Linked DNA regions of Caenorhabditis elegans. The protein of the gene in region 1 interacts with the protein of each later gene in a pairwise test. Each region holds a gene or a part of one and is shown on either strand. Other genes may lie near its edges. The genes, in order: ima-3 and cebp-1.

Evidence for each region.
Region 2: the proteins of ima-3 (region 1) and cebp-1 interact in a two-hybrid assay, tested with the Caenorhabditis elegans proteins (one study listed by BioGRID).

The regions. Positions count from the first base shown.
Region 1 is NC_003282.8:7,558,099-7,563,410, forward strand, and holds ima-3 (Importin subunit alpha-3), read right to left. Parts: upstream 3,567-5,312; 5' UTR 3,563-3,566; coding exon 3,488-3,562; intron 3,443-3,487; coding exon 3,372-3,442; intron 3,259-3,371; coding exon 3,043-3,258; intron 2,998-3,042; coding exon 2,403-2,997; intron 2,360-2,402; coding exon 1,881-2,359; intron 1,802-1,880; coding exon 1,693-1,801; 3' UTR 643-1,692; downstream 1-642. Other genes in the region: nprl-2 (Nitrogen permease regulator 2), read left to right, coding at 1-430, 475-598; F32E10.9 (TPR_REGION domain-containing protein), read right to left, coding at 4,415-4,612, 4,700-4,865, 4,915-5,039. UniProt on the Caenorhabditis elegans protein: Binds specifically and directly to substrates containing either a simple or bipartite NLS motif. Promotes docking of import substrates to the nuclear envelope. Seems to act as a cytosolic receptor for both simple and bipartite NLS motifs.
Region 2 is NC_003284.9:1,452,004-1,455,927, forward strand, and holds cebp-1 (CCAAT/enhancer-binding protein homolog 1), read right to left. Parts: upstream 1,866-3,924; 5' UTR 1,856-1,865; coding exon 1,703-1,855; intron 1,654-1,702; coding exon 908-1,653; intron 859-907; coding exon 798-858; 3' UTR 692-797; downstream 1-691. Other genes in the region: W05H7.1 (uncharacterized protein), read left to right, coding at 1-36. UniProt on the Caenorhabditis elegans protein: Transcription factor. Binds to promoter regions of target genes, perhaps at the motif 5'-[AGCT]TT[AGT][TC]GAAA[ACT]-3'.

The DNA.
Region 1 (5,312 bases):
ATTTACACTTCTACGAATGTGTCAGTCTTGTTCCAATGTTTCTCTACTATAATACATATGTGGCAACTGAAAGAGTTCACGACTTTTACAAAAATCAAACGGAAATCAATGACTGCCTTGAGTTTGTGAAAATTCAAACGGAAATCGGTGCAGACGGCTCAGAAATTCCAACGCGAACTCCAGAATTTTCGGATGTGTTCCGACTTTATTTGAGCATGAAAGTGGTGGGACCTAAACTTCCGATCGACGAATCTGATAGCAATCGACTACGTTTTCAGTGCGGCAACAATCTAGCAGAATGGGCCGATCTGGAGAAACCAAGATCGATGGGTATTGATGAACAGCGACTTGTACAATTTGGAATGCATCATCAGTTTCTTCGTAAACTTTCTAAATATCCTATTTGTGTTGCAAACCCAGGCAACAACACGTAAGTTAATCAATTAATACTATCTAATAATATACAATTTTAAGTCTCCTGAAACGGTGTAATGGAAAAACTTCAATTGACGAACTTTCTCTTCAACATAATGTGGACCCCGAACAACTTTGCTCACTGTTGGAAGAAACCGGAAAATTTGAGTTTGTCATGAAATAAATGAAAATCGTGTATTATTGTTTCGTTTTACAACAACTTTTAACAAATAAATTTGATTTATTTATTATGAGAGCACACACCAGGTAAAGGGAATATTGGCCAGTCAGTCGAGACAATCGAGAATAGCAAAACGGGAGAAAGGAAAATGGGATGAGGAAGATGAGAGGGAAAATGAGAAAAGAAGATGGATGATGAGAAGAGGGACGGCTCGATATACCTTTAAAAAGGCCTTACGGGATGGGTGGGGTTTCAAGAAAAAGAATACTGGAGTCCACGAGAACTAAGAGGAGCAGGGTGATTGGAATTTTTGGCCTATCAACGAGATTCTCCGAGAACTAATGAAATCGAGAATGATGATGGATGACTAGGAAATGAGCAAACTAGGGGGATCAGAAGTTCTAAGAAATTGAAATTATGTATATGATAAAGAATTAATAAAAGTAACATGTGAAGAAAATGAAAATACTCGCTTTTAGAGAGAAAATCTGGGGACCGTGGGGATTGGAGGGACTGGGAAAAATGATGAGAGATTTGAAAACGACGCGGTAACAATGATAAAAGGATGAGGGTGGGGGACGCGGGCAATGAACGGGCGCGAATGGGAAACAAAAATGAAAACAAAACTCAACAAAAATGCACAACTCACACACTCACTTTAAAAAGAAATCGAAATATATTATCATAAAACAGTCACTCTCGCACACACGAAGAAGAGGGCGGGGACATTGTAACTAATTAATCACAATGGAAAAAAGATGGTGGATGAAAAAGTGAAATGTTAATCAAATCACTGATGGTACAGAAACAACGAAGAGATAAAGAAAGGATGAGATAATTGACAATCGATTGTAGAAGAACGTGCAAACTCAATTGGTCAAAAAGTGCAAAATCTCACATGAAAGAGAGCTTGCATTTCCGAGAAGCTGGCTTAGGAACTCGCGTGTCAGATGAAAATACACGAGAACCTAACAAAAAGTGAGGTGTGAAAAATAGTAAGACGAAAACTACATGAACATTTGTATGGGAACGGCATGCGAAATTGTTTACGAGAAATAAGACAAAACGTATTTTGTGATTAAAGGAATCATGGAGATCTACTTTCCAAAGTTCCATCCTCCGTTTGGAGCATCAGGAACTGGTGGAACGTCGCCTCCAAAAGCAGAACTTTGAGCTCCTTCCACGTTGCCAGTCTCATCATCGGAACTGAAAATATAAAAACGTATACACCAAACATTCGCACACGGACTCTGAAGATTTTTATCAAATATAATTGGACTCCTACCTGAAGAAGTTATCGATAATTTCGAAAGCCAGTTTGTAAATGTCCTCGTTTTCATGATTTTGAAGATTTTCTATCTTGTCAAGACCTCCGCACTCTTCAATCTCTGATGTCACCTGTTCGGCAGCTTCTCCAGCCATTTTCAGAATGTTGTTAATTCCATCAAGCACTACTTGGATAATCTGCGAATCAGTGCAACTGAGCATCGCACAGAAAGGACGAAGGACACCAAGCTTTACCATTTGCTCAACTTGATTTGGACGGCCAGAGATTGTAACGTTGGAAATAGCCCACGCTGCCTCTTTTTGAGTTGGGAAATCTCCTCGATCAAGAAGATGAATAATCATTGGCATGATTCCGGCGTCGAATACGTCTTGAACTTGTTGTTGGTTTCCAGCAGTTATGTTGGAGACAAACCAAACAGCCTCTTTGTTTATTTTCTCTTTGTAGTGGGCGAGAAGTCCTGGCATAAACCGAAGAACCTGAAATTTAAGATTTGGAAAAGTCATAAATGAAAATTTTTACTCCGCTATCCAACACAAGTTGTGTTTGTTCGTCGGTTCCAGTCACAATATTTCCTACAGCTCGAAGTGCTGCTGTTTGAACTTTAACATCAACGTGTCCAAGGAGTGGAACGAGATGGGTAACAACTTGAGCTTCGATAACCATTTGAATGTGTTCATTTCCACCGTCGGTGAGGTAAGAAAGGGCCCAAACGGTGTCTATGAGGATGTTGGTGTCTTGGTGATGGATCAAAAGTGAGAGGGCGGGAAGAATCGTACGAACCACAGCTGGGCTTGGTGCCGGATCTTTGCACCTGCAGAGATTGACAATAACCCATGTGACATTTCTCAAGAAGCCAATAGGTATCTCCGGGTTAATGAACTGCAATAGTGGCTGGAGAATTCCGAGTTCGAGACAATAATCACGGAAATGTGGTCCATCTCCAATGATGTTACCAAGAGCCCAGACAGATTGCTCGCAAACGTTCAGATTTCCACATGACAGGAGTTGCAGGAAGAGAGGAACGGCTCCGGCATTCACGACGGCTTGTGTTTGCTCTGATGTACCAGATGCTATGTTGGTAAGGGCCCATGCAGCTTCAAATTGCAAGTTTGGACTGAAAATTTACAGTAATTTGATGCGACCTTATGAAAATTCTTACTCCGTGCTGGACAAGCATTGAACGAGGACAGGCAAAATCCCACTGCCAATCAAGTCATCAATTGGTGGATTTCTATCAGTTGATAGCATTTTACGGGCTTGTTGAACAGCAGTCAGCTGCTCAGCGGGATCGCTCGATTGGGCAGCAGCGACTGTCAACCGGAGGAGGTTGGCATCAAATGGACCTGGTGGGGTTGTTGAAGTCTCAGAATCATCTCTGAAAATTAAAACAATTCAAAAACTGGAACAGATAATTTACTGTGATAAGCGTATGAAACACTTTTGTTAGCTCTCATAGCTGAAGCATATAAAATCAGATGAAAAACTCACTCAATTTGGGTATTGATATTACGCCGTTTGGAAATTGCCTCCTCTCGTTTATCCTTTCTGATCGAAACCACCTTAAAATTGAATAATGTATGCGTTAACAAGTTTATCGAACTTACTTCTTCGTTCCTTTTTTCCTTGCCAATTTGCTCTTTGGCATTGTTCTTATAATAAGCCTGTCTGTTTGAACTCATTCTGCTGAAAGAAAAAAACTTGATAAATGAATAGTAGCGCAAGTAAAAAGCAACAAAAAACGTTTAAAAACTGCGGAACTTTCTATCAGAGATTTCGCAACACAAAAAGTATCTAAGATTACAGCTTAATTATTTAAAATAAGAAAAGAGCGATATTGAGAAACTTTAACAGAAATTTTTAAATAAAATCCAATGAATTACATGTAAGATGGAAAGATTTCAGTAGGATTGGGGAAAAATTATAGTCGATAACGAGACAAAATATGTCGCAGAAGCGTCGCGGTTGACACGCAACGCACACAATAGAGCGTATTGGCAGATAAGAGGTCTCACTCGTAGATTTTAAAACTAGGGAAAAGAAGCTCCGGAGTTTTTGGATGGATCTTCTTTAAAAAAAGGAAAACGTGTAAATGTTAAAGATATTAAGAACAAAAAACAATGTCTGATTAAAATGTCAAACTTCGCTTCAAATGGTTTCAAAATATGGCAATTTTAAATACATTTGGGTACCAAGCTCTTTTAACAAAAAATTTTAAATAATAAATTTATTTACTCAACATTCTTTACAATATTAATAACAGCGGATTTTATAAAAATTATAAAGCAATAAATTTTGTGATTGCATCCTACTCGTCGCCGCTCTCATCCTGCACCACCTGAAAAATAATGATATTTATGGTTACATTTGCATTTGCATTTGCATCAAATGCATTTGATATAATACTTTTGAACAAAAAACCAGGAGTATTTTCTAGTCCGAAAAACTTACATTAGCCGTCTTTTCCCGCAATTTCTTGTTGTGTTCCTGGATCCAGGAGAACACCTGATCTGCTTCGGTCAGTGTCGATCCTGTTACAGTTTTCGCAAAGATCTATTGAAAAACTTAAGAAAAGATACACTCCCCAACGCTGCTGGCATGCCGTGTTCACAGAAAAGTTTGGAACTTTTGAAACTTTTCAGACTAATCAGTAGGTTGACCCAGTTGACCCATTGGTCTATGTTCTCTTCGCCGGCCCATGGAAGATTGTCCTTTGCAACTTGAATTGCAGCCTGAAATGGTTCAATTTGAATCACTATTGCGAAGAATATAGTTATAATATAATTCGTTTAACATTTTTCAGTGTTTTACAGGCTTACCTTTAAACCAAACTTGGAATCGTAGGTCTCCATGTAGTTGATAAATTTTATCAACTCATCTCCGCTGACGTCAGTATTTTTGGTGATAAAATCACGGGTAAGCTTTTCAGCCTCAGCACCGCGATTTGCGTTCTCTTCTACAATGACTCGTCCGGTTATTATAGCTCTGAAAGTAAGTCAGTTTCAAAAAAATTGATTAAAAAATGTTGTCTTACTGGCAGTTCGGAAATTTTGCTGCAGCTGATTCAAAAATTTTTCGGGAGCTTTTCAGATTCCCTCTACTCTTAATTTCAGCCATGATTGCGACCTTGCATTTGATTTTGTCCGATTCCAATCCCATCACAAGCAAGGATGTCAATTCCCGTGTTCCGTTTGTCCCGTTGTCCCGTTTTTGGGGTGTTTTCACGGGAACGGGAATTCCCGTTGTCCCGTTTTTAAAATTTTCACGGGAACGGGAATTCCCGCTGTCCCGTTTTTGTCATTTTCACGGGAACGGGATGTCCCGTTGTCCCGTTTTTTGGGTGTTTTCGCGGAAACGGGAATTCCCGTTGTCCCGTTTTAAAAATTTTCACGGGAACGGGAATTCCCGTTGTCCCGTTTTTGTAATTTTTAG
Region 2 (3,924 bases), on another chromosome or scaffold:
GACCTGGCTAAGCAGTATCTCCAGAGCATCAGCTGAGCCATCTGGCATTATCATAATTATTATCTCAAATCTCTGTAAAATTGTATTATTATATGTAGCACAACCCCTGGCTAGTCAAGCCCCCCACCGCAATATATTTATATATTTTTGAAATTTTTGAAATTTTTGACTATAGAATTTGGAATCCTAAATGTAAATTTTTTGAGCACTGATGAATTTATTTCTATTTAGATAAAATCAGCGATCAAAAAGAAAAAAACAATAGAAAAAAGGCAAAAATAATAAAGCGAATTTGAAATTATCAAGGCAAAATTAGTTAACACATGTTCAGGGGGGATAGGTTTTCAGACAAAAAATGCACTAGTTGACTGGAAGGGGAAACATTACCAGTGGTGTAGGGATTGGAAGAGGATCTGGTTTTTTGCTACGTGGTGTTGAAAGGAAGTTAAGGAAAATTTTCCAGCCAATTTCGAGTTATTGGACTTTGAAGCGCAAGAGGCTCTGCGAGCAACTCTCAAAATATAGGAAATTTCAAGTTTCACAACTAAGTAACAAAATAACTTGCCAGCAAGTAAACGGGGGGAACAGATGAAAGCTCAGCTTTGGGGGGAAGGGAGAGAGATGGAATAGAATTATGTACGGTTTGATGCTTGTTTTACACTGGGAGACTAGATTGGGATCAATGAAGGGGGGGGGGGGGGGGGGGTCACTGGAATGATGGGGGGAGAATGCCGTGGAATAAATATGAGGATCCTAGGTGTCTAAATTATTGATTGGTTAATTGATGAAGCTGCAGGTTACTTGTTGAAGTTCTCGAGGATGTGGCGTTGGGGCATGCGTTGCTCTTTCATCGGGCCTCTGAAATTACAAATCGTTGAGAAACACTAAGGGTTTTATTCTGACTCACTTATTCCTGAGAAGCTGCTCCAAGGTGTCCTGGTCCCGACGTCTGGCGTCACGCTCGGACTGGAGGAGCCCTTCAAGCTCGGCGATGCGCCTCTTCATCTTGTCGTGCTCGGCTTCCTTCTTGTCCTGGAGCTCCTTTGCCTTTTTACGCGATTTTCTGACGGCATCATTGTTCCGGGCTCTTTTCAATTTGTAGGTCGGCTCAGCCTTCTCCTCGTCTGCCTTGAGTTTGTACTTTCTTGCTCTGGTCTGTGGCTTGAAGTTTTCCAGTCCGGCGGATTTAGTTTTCTTGCTCTTTGGCTCAAAGTAGGAGTCGTCAACGCTTCCGTCGTTATCCGTCATATCGCTGGACTCCTCCGAGTATTCCTTCTGGTAATCGTCATAAGGAACTGGGCGTTTGACAGCTCGGCGGGTCTTGGTAGCTCCGAAATCCGGTGTCTCAGCTTTCACTTCACAATTCATCTTGTACCCATCCTGATCATAATCCCCAGGCACTCGATAGCCAGTGCCGTACGCCACGTGGCGCTCATATCCGTTCAGCTCCGGTTGTTCGTAAGGATGCTCTCCGTCGTAAAGGATGTTGCACTTTTGGAGCTCGGCATCATCAAAATCCACATTGTCGGTAGGAACGTCAAGATCGTGGAGCACTTGCAGGTAGTCGCCAAGGTCCAGCTCAGTTTCCATAAAGTCCACTGGATGGCGTTCGCGGTCACGTTGCTGGAGGGATGCGGCAATGGTAAGAGAGTCCTGAAAATATCGATGACTAAGAGTGAGCAAGAGCACTTTATCCACTTACTTGTCTTGCGAAGGATCCGGCGGAGGAGGTGGAAGCTCCGTTGTTCGGCATGTCAGTGAACCCACGTACCTCGGATTGCTGGAGTCTTACCAGGTGTGGATGCTTGAGGGCCTGGTCGCCCTTTTGGTGGCTGTAGTTCAGCTTGCTATACATTTTCTTTATTCTGAAAAAAATACACTAAACTTAAAGAGAAGTTAAAGAGAAATAAGAGCAAACAGTTTGCGAAAAGGTTTCGAATGTTCTCGGTGAGAGGCGATGAGAAATAAAAAGAGAAACAGAGAAAGCAAGGAGGAAAAATGAGAAAAGTGAAATGATGACGTCATTGCCGCCGAATTTAGCAACCAGCTGCATAAGGGTGAGCAAGCGCTATGGGACACACCCAGAAGGTTATCAGTAGTTATCAAATGGGAGTGTGAATAAAATAAACTAAAAAGGTTACATTTCTTACAGATTTTAGAAACGATAACTCAAACTTTTAGACTTGCTCCAACACTAGAAAATGGATAAAAAATAGATATTTAAATTGTCTATAAAGTTGAAAAATTGTCAGAAAGGAAATCGACATCACAAATGACTATGTAACTGCTAATTTAAGAAGAAGGATTATCAACATAGAAATCGGCTTCTAACACTACAAAATACTCAAACCAGCTCGAGGAGCCCTCCACCAGACCCAACCGTCTCCGGATTGCGAAATGACAAACCCCGACACTTTTTTCCACGTCGACTTATAGCCATGGGCGGGGCGAGTTGTGTACAATTAGACTCCAAGGAGATGGATGAATACCGACGCTAGGAGGCAGGGCGCAAAGTATTGCGAAATCGGCGGCAATGTTGTGTTGTGAGAAGAGAGGAGGGGACAGGAGACGCAGAGCTTGCGATGAGTCACAACGCCGCCTCTGCGTCTCTTCCCGCTGCACACTATGCGGGGCGAGAGGAATGGGAGAAGCGCGAGTGGTTTTGTTGTTTGCTGGGAAAGACGCAGAGAAACCGAGGGAACTGGACTGTGAGTCATACATGTCATGCATACTGCAAAGTCATGAAAAACTGTCGTGGGGGAAAATGGAGATTGTAGGAGAGAGAGAGAAAAAAGAACAAACTAAATAGAATTGTTCCAAATTTGAACATGGTGCATCGGCTACACACTTCGACTGGTAGCCATAAAATAATCATTTTTAGTTAAAAAACTATAAAACAAATACTATGTTAGTTGGCAAATTGTTATAAATTCATTCAACATCTGTTCAGTTAGAAGGTAACGGCTCAACAAAAACTATTGCTCATCGTGCATCGATTGGGATCACAGTTCCCATTCTAGATCCTTGCTGGTAAATATTCCTATTTTTTTGAAAAACTATAAATTTTCAACTTCAAACCGCTAGAAAACGTAATAATAAGAATTTTTTCAATTGAAAATTTTCTGAAAATCTCAAAAACAACCAAGTTATAAGCTGTTCAAGTTAGAGTGCAATACTAAAGTGATTTTAATACATGGTGCATCGACAAGAATCATATGAACTTGACAGTCCATGTGTTGGCACGATTTTAGTTCTAAACTTATTTTTGACTACAAAATTCGAAAAATGTGATAAAAAAGTATTTTGTCAATTGTTGACAATTTATTACCGAAATCAAAAACAACCAAAATATTGTTTTCAAGGTATAAATTTATTCTTTACTACAAAATTATAGAAAATGTGACAAAAACAAATACAAGTTTCTCAAGTTAGAGAGCTATACTGAAAGAGTAATAACTAAACATGGTGCATCGATAAAAATCATATGACTTTGATAGTCTATATCAGGGCTGGGCGGCAATTGCCGTTCGGTAAATTGATTTGTCGACAAATTCGGCAAATCGGCAAATCGGCAAACCGGCTATTAGCCGATTTGCCGGAAATTTCCAATTCCGGCGATATGCCGGTTTGCCGATTTGCCGGAAATTTTAATTTACGGCAAGTTGCCGACTTGCCGATTTGCCGGATACCAGATTTGCCTGAAATGTTTAAAGGGGTTTTTTATAAGACGGAAGCACTTAACACTGTCTATTTTCGAATTTTTCTCGTTTTTTCTACATATTTTTTATAGAATATGCGTACTTCTCAAAATAGATATAGGAAAATTCATATGATGCGTTTAATTTTGCCATTTGAAATTGAAATTCCAAAAAATAAGTGCAAAACCACAATTTGCCGAAAATTTTTGGCAAATTACCGATTTGT